3 linked regions of the Callithrix jacchus genome follow. The main gene of each other region encodes a partner of the protein of the gene in region 2 in a complex. Links are inferred from orthologs where the notes say so. Each region holds a gene or a part of one and is shown on either strand. Other genes may lie near its edges.

Region 1 (3,743 bases), on a different chromosome or scaffold from region 2:
GATGGGAGGGATGGAAGGGTTAGCACGGGGCCAGGGACCCCAGGTTACTTACATCTCCAGCCAGCTGGGCAAAGAGTCTCCGGAACTGTCGGACCTCCTCACTTTCGTTGGCCTCAATGTTGGAGTAATGTGTGCGTGGAGGCTGCAGAGAGGGAGGAGAGCTCAGAGCTGGTGGGGGTAGGGGACCCGCCCAGGACAGCTCCTCACATTGAGGCACCCTGGGTGGGGAAGTCATAGTGGGCTGGGTGGCTTGATGAGAAAAAGAATGAGGGGTGGCAGCGAATGGGGAGTGTGTATGTCAGGGATGGCTAAACCCCATGGCGAAGCTGCGGACATGGCCCGGGAAGAACTGGCAGAGGAATGTCACAAGAAGTGGTGGAAGGTGGGGCTTCCCTACAGGTACAGGGATGGGACCTCGAAGAGGCCTTGGAGGGAGAAGTTTGGCTGGCTGCAGAGGGGGCTTACCGGGGGCTCCGGGTTATACTGCGCAGCCGCCTCGCTGCGAAGAGATAAGGGGGAGGGGTTAGCGCCTGGGGCGGGGCCTCCAACGGGCAGAGGGGCAGAACCATTGGCCCCGAGGCCACCTTCCTTACTTGGTTGCTGTGCCCCTTACCTGTTCTTGCCTTCACCTGTCCTAATCCACCCTGCCCTGGTCCTGCCCCCCTTCTCCTTTCATCAGGCCAACCCTACCCTCGAGGAAACCTAGAGACCAGTCCCCTGGGAGGCTCCACTCCTGCCAGGCATACCTACCCAAGGGCAGATTCCAGCCATCTTGGCCACCCTCGACCTAAAAATCCCACACAGAATCAACAAACCCTGCCCCTTGGAGAGCTCACTTTATAGAGGCTCTGCCCCAGCTTCCCAAGGCCTCATCCTCCTTAGGTGCCATCTGTCCAAGACCCTACTCCATGGCCCTCTTCTTAAATGGCTATCTTCCCAACATCCAACCACAGGTCCCCGCCCCTTCAAGGGATCATTGTTAAGTGGCCATGGCTAATTAGGCAAACCTGCCCTACCCCTATCAGGACATTTTTCTACATGAATCCAGCCAGTTTCCAGCAGGCCCAGCCCATTTTGGGCTATTTCTCCTATCTCATTAGGCCTTGGTTTCTCCTGGGCTCACATCCTCATTAACCCACCTAAAACCTCTCACCGCACTCATAAGTCAAGCTCCGTCCGTAAAATGTCACTCAGACGCATTGGCTCCGCCCCTTTAACGTTCGTTTCCAGGGTAGCCAATACAGGCCGGGCCCAGATCCATAAGCCCCGCCCCCAAAACTCCAGATCAGTGCCCTGAGGACCACATTGTCCTGGATCCACACAATCAGACCACCCCCATATCAAGTCCTGCCCCCAAGGACTGGTATCACCTTCACTGGGGTCCACCCTCTTATAGGACTCCCAAACCAGGCCACCCCGGCCTAATTCAGGTACCCAGGTCGGCCTCAGGTTAATTCTATTCTAGTCTAGTTAAATTACGCTCCTCCCCAGGCCCCGCCCCTTCTGAGGCTCCTCCCGCGTACAGGCCCCGCCCCTTCAATAGTCCCCACCTCACCTGATGGCGCTGATAACGCCGCCTAGGATGCGCATGGCCGTTCCACCGCCACCGCCGCCTCCACCGCCTCCGCCTCCACCGCCGCCGCCGCCGCCGCCCCCGGCCCCGCTGATCAGGCCTCCAAGTACATTCCCCAGGCCCCCACCCAGGCCCCCGCCTCCCCCGCCGCCGCTGCCGCCGCCGCCCTTCAAGAACGAGTTAACCAGGAACATGGCTGCGACTCACTGCTGGGGGAAAAAAGGGACTAGTGGTTGCGTCGTCCTGAGCCCACACCCTTCCCTCAAACACGCATTTCCGGCAGCTGGACTAGCAGGAGGAATCTGAGGCCCCCGGTGGGGGTCTGAGCCTGCGAGGGAGAATTGTCCTCGGATGGGTGGGGCAGGAACGGGGAATCAGGTTTGCAACCTCCTGGGGTCTAAAAGGCATCCGTGGGGCTTGAGGGAGCCTGGGCTGAGTGCACGCGTTAAGGGGAGGGTGCGGGTCTGGTGGGGGTCCTCTTGGTGGGGACTCCAAGTTGGTGTAAGGCGTGCCCGACGGAACTGAATGGAGAGGTCGCTGGCGGGTCATGGGCGCGGAGCAAACATCCACGGCCTAAAGGGCCCCAGGGCGGGGTTTAGGAAATCCCAAATGCGGGCTTGAGAATTTAGATGTTCCCAGCGGCAGGATTCCAGTGTCACCTTTGGGTCTGTGGGCTCGGGTCTAAGATCGTGGCTGTGATCCCTAGGGTCCCGGATAATGGGGTCCCCCGCTGGAACTGGGGGCACAGATCTACGATTGCGGTTCAGAACGCACCAAGGAAGAATTCAAGGGGTATCTCGGAAATCTATGGGCCTGCATTTTGGATCATGAGACAGAGGGTGGGGAAAGGTCCCCGGGACGGCATAAAAGGGGGTCGAACATGTCTGGGGTTTGAATATGAGACCATGGATCTGGGGACCCGAGGCCGAGACTTCACGGTCTCGCCGGGTCTGGGGACCGCCAGGGCCGGAATTGCAGGGTGGGGAGAGGGTACGGGCCGGGCGCTTACCACCGCACAGGTCCGGAGGTCCCGTGGGGTCCGTTCCACTGCCGCTCCCGGGCCTCCCGCTGCGTCCGGCTCCGAAGGGCGGGGCCGGTGACTCAGGACGCAACTCTCCGGTCAGACTCTGCACCGCGGCCCCGCAGTTGCCCGCGCGGTCCTAGAGCCGAAGTGGAAACTGCGCATGCGCTCCCCGACCCGCCGAGGCTAGCGGAACGCGAATCTGGCTGGACTCCTCCCGGCGCGTTTCCAGCTCTGGAGGTCCTAAACTCGCTCTGACTCGGTAGGCTGGGGTCTGAACCACACCCCTCAAGTCTGGGTTGAGGCGCCAGCGGACTAGAACTCGGAGGGGACCCGCCCCCTCCCAGTGTCGTAATGTGAATTTTCGCCCCAGGGCCTGCCTATACCCTTCCAGAGTGGCGGTTTTCGGTCCACTCACTAAGGAACTCCGCACGGCCCTCTCCAGGTCTTGTCGCGACAAACAGCTCCTGGAGGCCTGGAGTATGGTTTGGCTCGTACGCTCGAGTCTTTGGCGAGGACTTAAGCTGGACTGCCTTTCCGGGTGCCTGCAGCAGCACGGATGGCAGTCAAACCGCAGGCAGGGCCTGCGCCTCCTTCCAAGCTCTCCTTACCACGCCCCCGCCCCAGTCAGGGGCCACCAGAATCGTTGTTTGCTGGACCAGCCCAAAGGGTATCCTCTGTATGCCAGTCTCAAAAGCCCCCAGACACAGGAAGATTCCTTTGGGCACGGCCTGGTTTCTTTATTTACTTAAAAAATATGGCCAGGTGCAGTGGCTCACGCTTGTAATCCCAGCACTTTGGGAGGCCGATGGGGGTGGATCACGAGGTCAAGAGATCGAGACCATCCTGGCCAACATAGTGAAACCCGGTCTCTACTAAAAAAAAAATACAAAAAATTAGCTGGGCGTGGTGGTACATGCCTGTAATCCCAGCTACTCAGGAGGCTGAAGCAAGAGAACCGCTTGAACTGGGGAGGCACAGGTTGCAGTGAGCCAAGATCACGCCATGTGCACTCCAGCCTGGGAGACAGCGAGATTCATGGCGAATCATGACCAACATGGCGAAACCCCGTTGGTCAGGCTGATCTCAAATTTCTGACCTTAGGGGATCCACTTGCCTTGGCCTCCCAAAGTGCTCAGATTACAGGCG
Region 2 (3,743 bases):
TGAAGAAATATCTCAAGGGAAATTGGAATTCCCAATTCTTAAAAGCATATGTATATAGCATCTTGATTTTGAATCTAATTAGTCCTCACCAGTACTTATGTAGTTCATATCATTTCTAGTTTACAGATGTGAAAGCAGGTTGAAAAGGTTGACTTATTTCCATTTGAGAAAAACTCTTTGTTCTCCACAATGTATGTAGAGGCTTTAAAAAGCACTTGCAGGTGCAGTACAGTGGCTCATGCCTGTAATCCCAACATTTTGGGAGGCTGAGGTGGGAGGATTGCTTGAGACCAGGAGTTTTAGACCAGCCTAGGCAACATAATGAGAGAGACCCTGAATAGTATATTGTATGTATGTATGTGTGTGTGTGTGTGTGTGTGTATACACACACACACACAATAAATATACACACACACACAGTACACATATATAGCCTATCTCCATATATAGTATATATTATATATACTATATATATAGAAAGGGAGAGTAAAAATAATTTTTAAAAACACTACTTGTGGATATAATTCTGCCTGGCACATAGTAGATGATCAATAAATGCCCACTGTCTGATAAGTAACAGTTTCTTGATTCTTATATATGATTTCTAGCTCCAAAGAGTGTCTGATTCCAACATCTTTGCTTTTTCCAACACCACATACTAAGAGAGAAAGAGACATATCTAACTAATTTTTAAATTCTTACCATAAATCAATGGGACATAAACATTTTGGTTTTCACTATCAACAAAACTTTTGTGTGTGTGTGTGTGTGTGTTTTTGGACAGCAATCTAATGTTAAATCATGCTTCCTGGTTCCAAAACACTAGAAGTGCCAGTTTGACTGGATATCACACCTAATTGGTAGGACAGACATTCAATGCACCAAACAAATGGAACGTTCTCGTCCCCCATCTAAAGCAATAAAGTGCAGAGCAGATCGCTGTCGTGCGCGCTGTCTCTCTCCCTCCCTCTCTCACTTCCTCGCTTTCTCTCTCCCATCCCTCCAACGCTCCGTCCAAGGGTCTTGGTCTCAGATCTCAGTTGCTTCTGCGCCTTGGTGTTTGAGATTTTCTCCTTGACTTACATTGCAGCTGCCTCTCCTTTGCGTTGGCAAATATAAGACCAACAACCTCCCTCTGAAAGTTTTGAGGTTTACTTAGGGGTTAAAAACAAACCCTAGATCTAAGCTCGTATGAGCTGCGTCCGAGTTCATTCAGGAATCCACCTCCTAGACGGAATTCCTCCAGCAACAATTCCAGTTCCATCCCACTTGTACCGGGGCGAGAGAGGTGCATGCACCACGCACGCTTGGGCGCGCTCCCACATACCACAAGAGGGAGAGTCCCCGGCCTTTCCCGGAGCCTAACCTGACGGTCTGTAAGGAGGTCGCACCCGGTCCGCAACCCTTCTCCGCCAAACTTTGCACAACGCTTCGTCCGCAGGTCCAGAAGGGCAAAGCCAACTCACTCCCTTCCAACACCCTCCCTTCCCGGTCTTGCCCGGGCACAACCGCTGCTATTTACCGTCTTGTACCACCAGCTGGCGAATGCCATGGCGACAACCGGCTGGCTCCGATTCGCACGGCGGGGGACCCGGAGAGGACGCGGGGTGCTGTGCTGGGGGCGCCGGGCTCGCACTATGCCTGGCCGGGACTTGGCTGGCACTGAGCTCGGCTCACCCCAAGGCTGCCAGGTGGGCAGAACCCTGGGGGCGGGGCCAGTAGTAGATCCCGCCCCGCCGTGCCCCTCCCCGCCGCGCCCGCCCGATTTGGCTCGGGGCTGGTTAGGGAAGAGGCTCCGGGTCTGCAGGTGGGCAGAACCTTGGGGGCGGGGCCAGTCGCAGGCCCTGCCCCGCAGCGCCCCTCCCCGCCCCGCCCGCCCGATTTGGCTCAGGGCTGGATAGGGAGGAGGCTCGGCGTCTCCAGGCAGCCGCGCCCTGCGGCTCGGCACTAGAGTAGAAGACTAGATCCCGCTGTCTAGTGAAACCTCCCCACTCACTCGGGGGTCCTGAGTGAACCTCATTCCCTTTTCATCCTTATCCTCATTCACCACGTCTCACCAGCCAACTTTTCTCGACGCGCCCCCCACCCACTATACCCAGCCAACGCCACGCCCAGCGCTCTGGAGCCGACCGGGAAACCGCGGCCACCTCCAGCCACCTGCCAAGTGGCGGCCAAGCCAGGAGCCCTCTCCCTGTCCCTCTCCCTGCCCCGCTGGGGCGCCGGGGACAGCAGATCGGCCAGCCCCGCAACGCCCCTGGAGGGCGGCCTCAGCTCCGAGACCCAGTCCCCAGTCTCCCAGCCCCGCGGCACCGACAGGAGCTCCACTCACCTCCTGGGTGCGGCGGGCTGCGGCAGCGCGCCCGGGCCGCGGGGAGGCGGCGGGCTTCCGGCCAGGCTGGGACATGGCGAGGCCGCTGCGGGCGCTGCCTCCGGGAAGGCGCCGCAGAGAGTGGCAGGGAGGCCAGCGAGGGAGGGAGGGAGCGGAGGGCCCGGGAGCGCGCGGTGAGACAGCTTTTCCGACCCCACCCCAGGCCCGCACCGGGGTTCCCCTCGCCCCGTTGGGCCCTCCCCTTCCTGCCCGCGGGGGGACCCGGACTCCTGCCCTGTAACTTAACACCCTCCGCCCCGGTCCTCAACGGGTGACCCTCCCCGGCCCCAGCACTGCTCGGGTCCCGGTTGGTCAGAAAAAAGGGGTTGGAGGTTACAGCGTTCCTCCTTCGATGCCCAGATCGATCTTGCAGTTGTGCAATGAGACAGCGGGACCCGGGCGTGGCCCATCTGCGCTTCGACCTTCCTCCCAAGAATCCGGAGTAGTAGATACTCTTTTTACATTCCGCCCTGCTTTAGCTGAGAGGTTGCCAACTTAAATCTGGCTCAATCCTGGACTGTCTAGATAAGGAAGCGGATCATAAAAACAATTTGTCTGTGTGTGAGTGTTTAAGTGAGGGCACTGGCCTGTGTGTGTTTTATATGATTTTACTTTGTTTTTTTGGCAATTTTGAATTTTAATAAACTTTTATGGGGAAGAGATCATATATGCCAATGCAAACCGGAGAACAGTTCCAAATTTTAAACCGTTATTAAAAGGTTATAGTCTTTCTGCAGTCTGGAGGGTTCTGTTTCTGAAGCTAGATTGCTTTTGTCTTGGGCTCATCTTAGCACTTCCTGGTTTGGGGTTGGAAGTGAAATTTAACAAGCCCTACTAGGATAAGCTCTTGTAAGAGACTGTCAGCCTGCAGTTGCTGCTGGTTCACCGTCGGGCCTGACAGAAAACCTGTTTGTTACCCTGCAATAGCAACATCATTTTGGGACTTGGGGTCACAGCTGTCTGCAGGATTGAGGTTTAGACAATTGAAGAGAGAGAAAGTAGATTCGTTTTGTTTTGTTTTGGAGTCTCAGTGTTGCTCTTCCGCCCAGGCCGGAGTGCAGTGGCGCGATCTCGGCTCACTACTGCAACCTCCTGCCTCAGTCTCCTGAGTAGCTGGGACTACAGGCGCGTCCCCACACCCAGCTAATTTATTTATTTATTTATTTAGTAGCTAATTTATTTATTTTTAAGTAGAGACGGGATTTCACCACGTTGGTCAAGACTGGTCTTGAACTCCTGACCTCAACTGATGCACCCACTGCAGCTTCCCAAAGTGCTGGGATTACAGGCATGAGCCACTGCACCTGGTCAGAAGGCAGATTTTAAGGAGAGATTTGTTATGCTATATGGAGCCTGGCAGAACAGAATTCTGGTT
Region 3 (3,743 bases), on a different chromosome or scaffold from region 2:
GATGGGGACAGTATCAGTGCCTTCTTCACAGTTGCTGGTGGGGACGTCATTTAGCCTCTCCAAGGCTCACTTTTCCCATCTGTAAGATGGGGACAGTATCAGTGCCTTCTTCACAGTTGCAGGGTGGGGACGTCATTTAGCCTCTCCAAGGCTCACTTTTCCCATCTGTAAGATGGGGACAGTATCAGTGCCTTCTTCACAGTTGCAGGGTGGGGACGTCATTTAGCCTCTCCAAGGCTCACTTTTCCCATCTGTAAGATGGGGACAGTATCAGTGCCTTCTTCACAGTTGCTGGTGGGGGCGTCGTTTAGCCTCTCCAAGGCTCACTTTTCCCATCTGTAAGATGGGGACAGTATCAGTGCCTTCTTCACAGTTGCAGGGTGGGGACGTCATTTAGCCTCTCCAAGGCTCACTTTTCCCATCTGTAAGATGGGGACAGTATCAGTGCCTTCTTCACAGTTGCAGGGTGGGGACGTCGTTTAGCCTCTCCAAGGCTCACTTTTCCCATCTGTAAGATGGGGACAGTATCCCGGTTGCTGGAGGATTGAATGACATGTTGTGTGCAGAGACGGCTTTTGGCTCCAAGTTCACAGCAGCTGCTGTCGCTTCGTTGACTTCACTACCTGACCCTCTGCTAACTCCCCGGGGGGTGTTTCCTGGGCCGCCACAAGGACCCTGGCCTCCGGGGTCCCCAGCCTTCCTCCCCAGGGGCCGGGAGGGTGGCCTCGGGTTCCGGTGGGAGCCCCCCCCGTGACCCCGCGCGATCCCGGGATTGGGCCGCAGATGGCAGCACCGGCCCCGGGCCGCAGCGGTCCGGTCCCCGCGCGGTGCAGGCGGCGGGTGGTCCCGGGCCGGGCTTGGCTGAGGCCACACCCCGCGGGCCGGGCCGCTTCCCTCCGGTGAATCATCGCTCGCAGCTGGGGCGCCCGCGGAGTCGCCCGACCTTGCTCTGCGCAGTGCGGCCGCCGGGACCGCAGCATGGCGGGGATCGCGGCCAAGCTGGTGAGGGACCGGGAGGCGGCCCAGGGGCTGGGCTCGCACGAGAGGGCCGTCAAGTACCTGAACCAGGACTACGGGGCGCTGCGGGACGAGTGCCTGGAGGCCGGGGCGCTCTTCCAGGACCCCTCCTTCCCGGCCATGCCCTCGTCCCTGGGCTTCAAGGAGCTGGGGCCCTACTCCAGCAAGACCCGGGGCATCGAGTGGAAGCGCCCCACGGTAGGCAGAGCGCGCGGCAGGACGCGGGCAGGGCGGGTGCAGCCCCGGGGCTGCAGTGGGGACCCCGCAGGCCCGCGACACTAACGCGCCGCCCGAGCCCGGGACTCCGTTCGAGCGTGGGGGGACCCCGGGGCCTGCCCTCTCTTCCACGCACCGAGCTTTCCTGGGCGGATCGGGCCGAATCACTGCCCTCAAACCCCACTCGCAGGCCCGCCAGGGGAGCGGCTTTAGGGCTTCACAAAAACTCGGGGTGGCACAGGAGGCCGGGGTGAAACTGAGTGGACTCCAGCGGGAGCTGGAAGGGGAGGGGAAGCGGGTGTGCAGGGAAGGGATGGTGAGAGGCAACGTCTACCAGAGAAAGTCTTGTCTCTAACCCGGGTTCTGTCTGTTCATGGAAGGCGACAGGCCGCAGCCTGGTAATTTTGTGACTAAGGATAGTCTCATGCAGCCCTGAGGTTAGATTTATTTTTCCAAAGGGCCAGGGAAACCTCCCCATAATGTTGACACTGGTAATTAACCGAGGACACGGAGGTGCTCCAAGGAGCCAGTGTCTCATGATTTCCCTGGCGGGAATCCTCCGGGAGGCCTCCAGACCCCCTTATCCTGCCCCCCTAGGGTCTCTGTCCTCCCTTCCCTGGGACACCTTCTGCTCCCCAGTCTATTTGTCCACTCCGTTTCCTGGACAACCCCTGTGGCTCTTCCTCCTGTGAGACACTTTCGCAGGCTTCTCCCGCCACGCCTAGCAAAGCCTGCAGGGAAGTGCAACTTCTAGATCCCTGTTATGAGAACAAGCCTTCCAGCTCTGCTTCCACACCCGGCAGCCTCACAGGTCACCTTGTGACCCTAAATCCAGCCCGCTGGTAGCGAGGTCTGCAGCAAGCACCCTAGCCTAGGCTTGGAGCACTTGGGTTCTTCTTGCTAACCTGCCGGATGACCTTGAGTGAGTTACTTAACCTCTCTGTGCCTCCACATCTTCATCTAAAAGAAATCACTCTGCCTAGATATTTTCTCTCTTCTGTGGCCCACAGGCCCGGCCATCCTGCCTCCTTTCAGTCTCTCAAAGGGCCAGTTCTTTCCTGCATGAGGCCCTCTCACCAGCAAGGCACGATCCTACCTGGGTTTCTGGAGTGCAGCTCACTCTCATTCTTTCCAACTTAGTCACACGTTCCCTTCCCAAAGAGGTCTTTTCTGACCCTTCTTAGCAGCCGCCTCCCCTCCGCCTGGGTATTCTCTAACTCACCCCATGCATTTCCTTCCCAGCATTGTCACACTTGAGAAATATAATCACATGTATTCGTTCTTCCTACTGAACTGCAGGGATCATATGTACATTATTTACCAGAATATCCGCAGTGCCTAGCACGTAAGCATGCCTTTCACAGCATTGATTGAGCACCTCTTACATGCCAGGCACTGTCCTGAGAGCTCAGGAGATACGGTGTTGAACACAGAAGAAGTGACTGTAGAATGAGTGGATGCAGGATTGTAATGAGCCTCACATGAAATCCTGGTTGTGAAAGCGATACACTGACTCAACAGTGTCTCACGACGATAATCCCAGCATTACGGGAGGCCAAAGTCAGAGGATTGTTTGAACCAGGAGTCTAAGACCAGCCTGGGCAACATAGTAAGACTTGTCTCTATAAAGACCATCCTGGTCAACATGGTGAAACCCCGTCTCTACTAAAAATACAAAAATTAGCTGGACATGGTGGCACGTGCCTGTAATCCCAGCTACTCGGGAGGCTGAGGCAGGAGAATTGCCTCAAACCAGGAGGCAGAGGCTGCGGTGAGCCGAGATTGCGCCATTGCACTCCAGCCTGGGCAACAAGAGCAAAACTCCGTCTCAGGAAAAATAAAAAAATGAGACACAACCCAAGAGAATGTGTTCACTTTACATTTGCATGTTTACACCGTGAGTTCACACACTTATTCACTTACTCTTGCATTCATTCAATAAGGATTTCTCTAATCTCTACTATGTGCCAGGCATAATACATATAGTTCCTGCTTCTGAAGACTTTTTTGAGGCTAGAGGGGACCGAGACAGGTCCCCCAACAGCCGGAAATGCCTGTGGGACTTCCAGATGAGGATATGGAGGTCTAGAGATGGTGGAGGGCCACTGCTTAGAGCAGGCTGCACTGCACAACCAAGTGAGAGTGTGACTATTACTCTCCCCATTTGCCGGGTGAAGAAACTGAGGCTTGGAAAGGTTAAACACTTGCCCAGAGTCAAGCTTGTGTAGGGTGTGAATCCAGGGCTGTGTGTAGTCTGTGCATGTTGAGCCTACCCCTCATGGCTGCACTCCCTGTCTCCATCCTACCTTCTCAAATGCTGCAGAGGTCAGGCAAGAGGAGCACAATTGTGTCCACTGGATTTGGACATTAGCAAGTCATTGGTGACTTAGCAGAGCAGAGCAATTTCTTTTTTTTTTTTTTTTGAGATGGAGTTTTGCTCTTGTTACCCAGACTGGAGTGCAATGGTGCAAGCAATTCTCCTGCCTCAGCCTCCCGAGTAGCTGGGACTA

The links.
Region 1: the proteins of CAST (region 2) and CAPNS1 are in contact, whole or in part, in a crystal structure (PDB 3BOW), measured with the Rattus norvegicus proteins. The link is inferred for Callithrix jacchus from reciprocal best matches to the Homo sapiens genes CAST and CAPNS1. Residues at the interface, in NP_445747.2 of Rattus norvegicus: Pro652, Ile653, Asp654, Ala655, Leu656, Ser657, Asp659, Leu660, Asp661; in NP_058814.1 of Rattus norvegicus: Phe103, Leu106, Gln109, Leu110, Ile125, Lys128, Val129, Arg132, His133, Leu136, Phe166, Trp170, Lys174, Gln177, Lys181.
Region 3: the proteins of CAST (region 2) and CAPN2 are in contact, whole or in part, in a crystal structure (PDB 3BOW), measured with the Rattus norvegicus proteins. The link is inferred for Callithrix jacchus from reciprocal best matches to the Homo sapiens genes CAST and CAPN2. Residues at the interface, in NP_445747.2 of Rattus norvegicus: Glu571, Leu572, Asp573, Ala575, Leu576, Asp577, Glu578, Leu579, Ser580, Ser582, Leu583, Gly584, Gln585, Arg586, Gln587, Pro588, Leu596, Asp597, Asp598, Lys599, Val600, Lys601, Glu602, Lys603, Ile604, Lys605, Ala606, Glu607, His608, Ser609; in NP_058812.1 of Rattus norvegicus: Glu62, Leu63, Ser68, Lys69, Gln99, Gly100, Ala101, Leu102, Gly103, Trp106, Lys161, Asp162, Leu165, Leu166, His169, Ser196, Gly197, Gly198, Thr200, Ser241, Asp243, Ile244, Thr245, Asp249, Ser250, Glu251, Ala252, Val253, Val259, Lys260.

Annotation. Positions count from the first base shown.
Region 1 is NC_133523.1:32,291,502-32,295,244, reverse strand, and holds the start of CAPNS1 (calpain small subunit 1), read right to left. Parts: upstream 2,677-3,743; 5' UTR 2,583-2,676; intron 1,783-2,582; 5' UTR 1,768-1,782; coding exon 1,556-1,767; intron 1,202-1,555; exon of another isoform or gene 1,163-1,201; coding exon of another isoform or gene 1,140-1,162; intron 500-1,139; coding exon 466-499; intron 143-465; coding exon 53-142; intron 1-52. UniProt on the Homo sapiens protein: Regulatory subunit of the calcium-regulated non-lysosomal thiol-protease which catalyzes limited proteolysis of substrates involved in cytoskeletal remodeling and signal transduction. Essential for embryonic development.
Region 2 is NC_133503.1:113,951,500-113,955,242, forward strand, and holds the start of CAST (calpastatin), read right to left. Parts: upstream 2,541-3,743; 5' UTR 2,405-2,540; coding exon 2,330-2,404; intron 1,665-2,329; exon of another isoform or gene 1,553-1,664; coding exon of another isoform or gene 1,523-1,552; exon of another isoform or gene 1,367-1,522; intron 1-1,366.
Region 3 is NC_133520.1:5,086,509-5,090,251, reverse strand, and holds the start of CAPN2 (calpain-2 catalytic subunit), read left to right. Parts: upstream 1-930; 5' UTR 931-978; coding exon 979-1,215; intron 1,216-3,743. UniProt on the Homo sapiens protein: Calcium-regulated non-lysosomal thiol-protease which catalyzes limited proteolysis of substrates involved in cytoskeletal remodeling and signal transduction. Proteolytically cleaves MYOC at 'Arg-226'.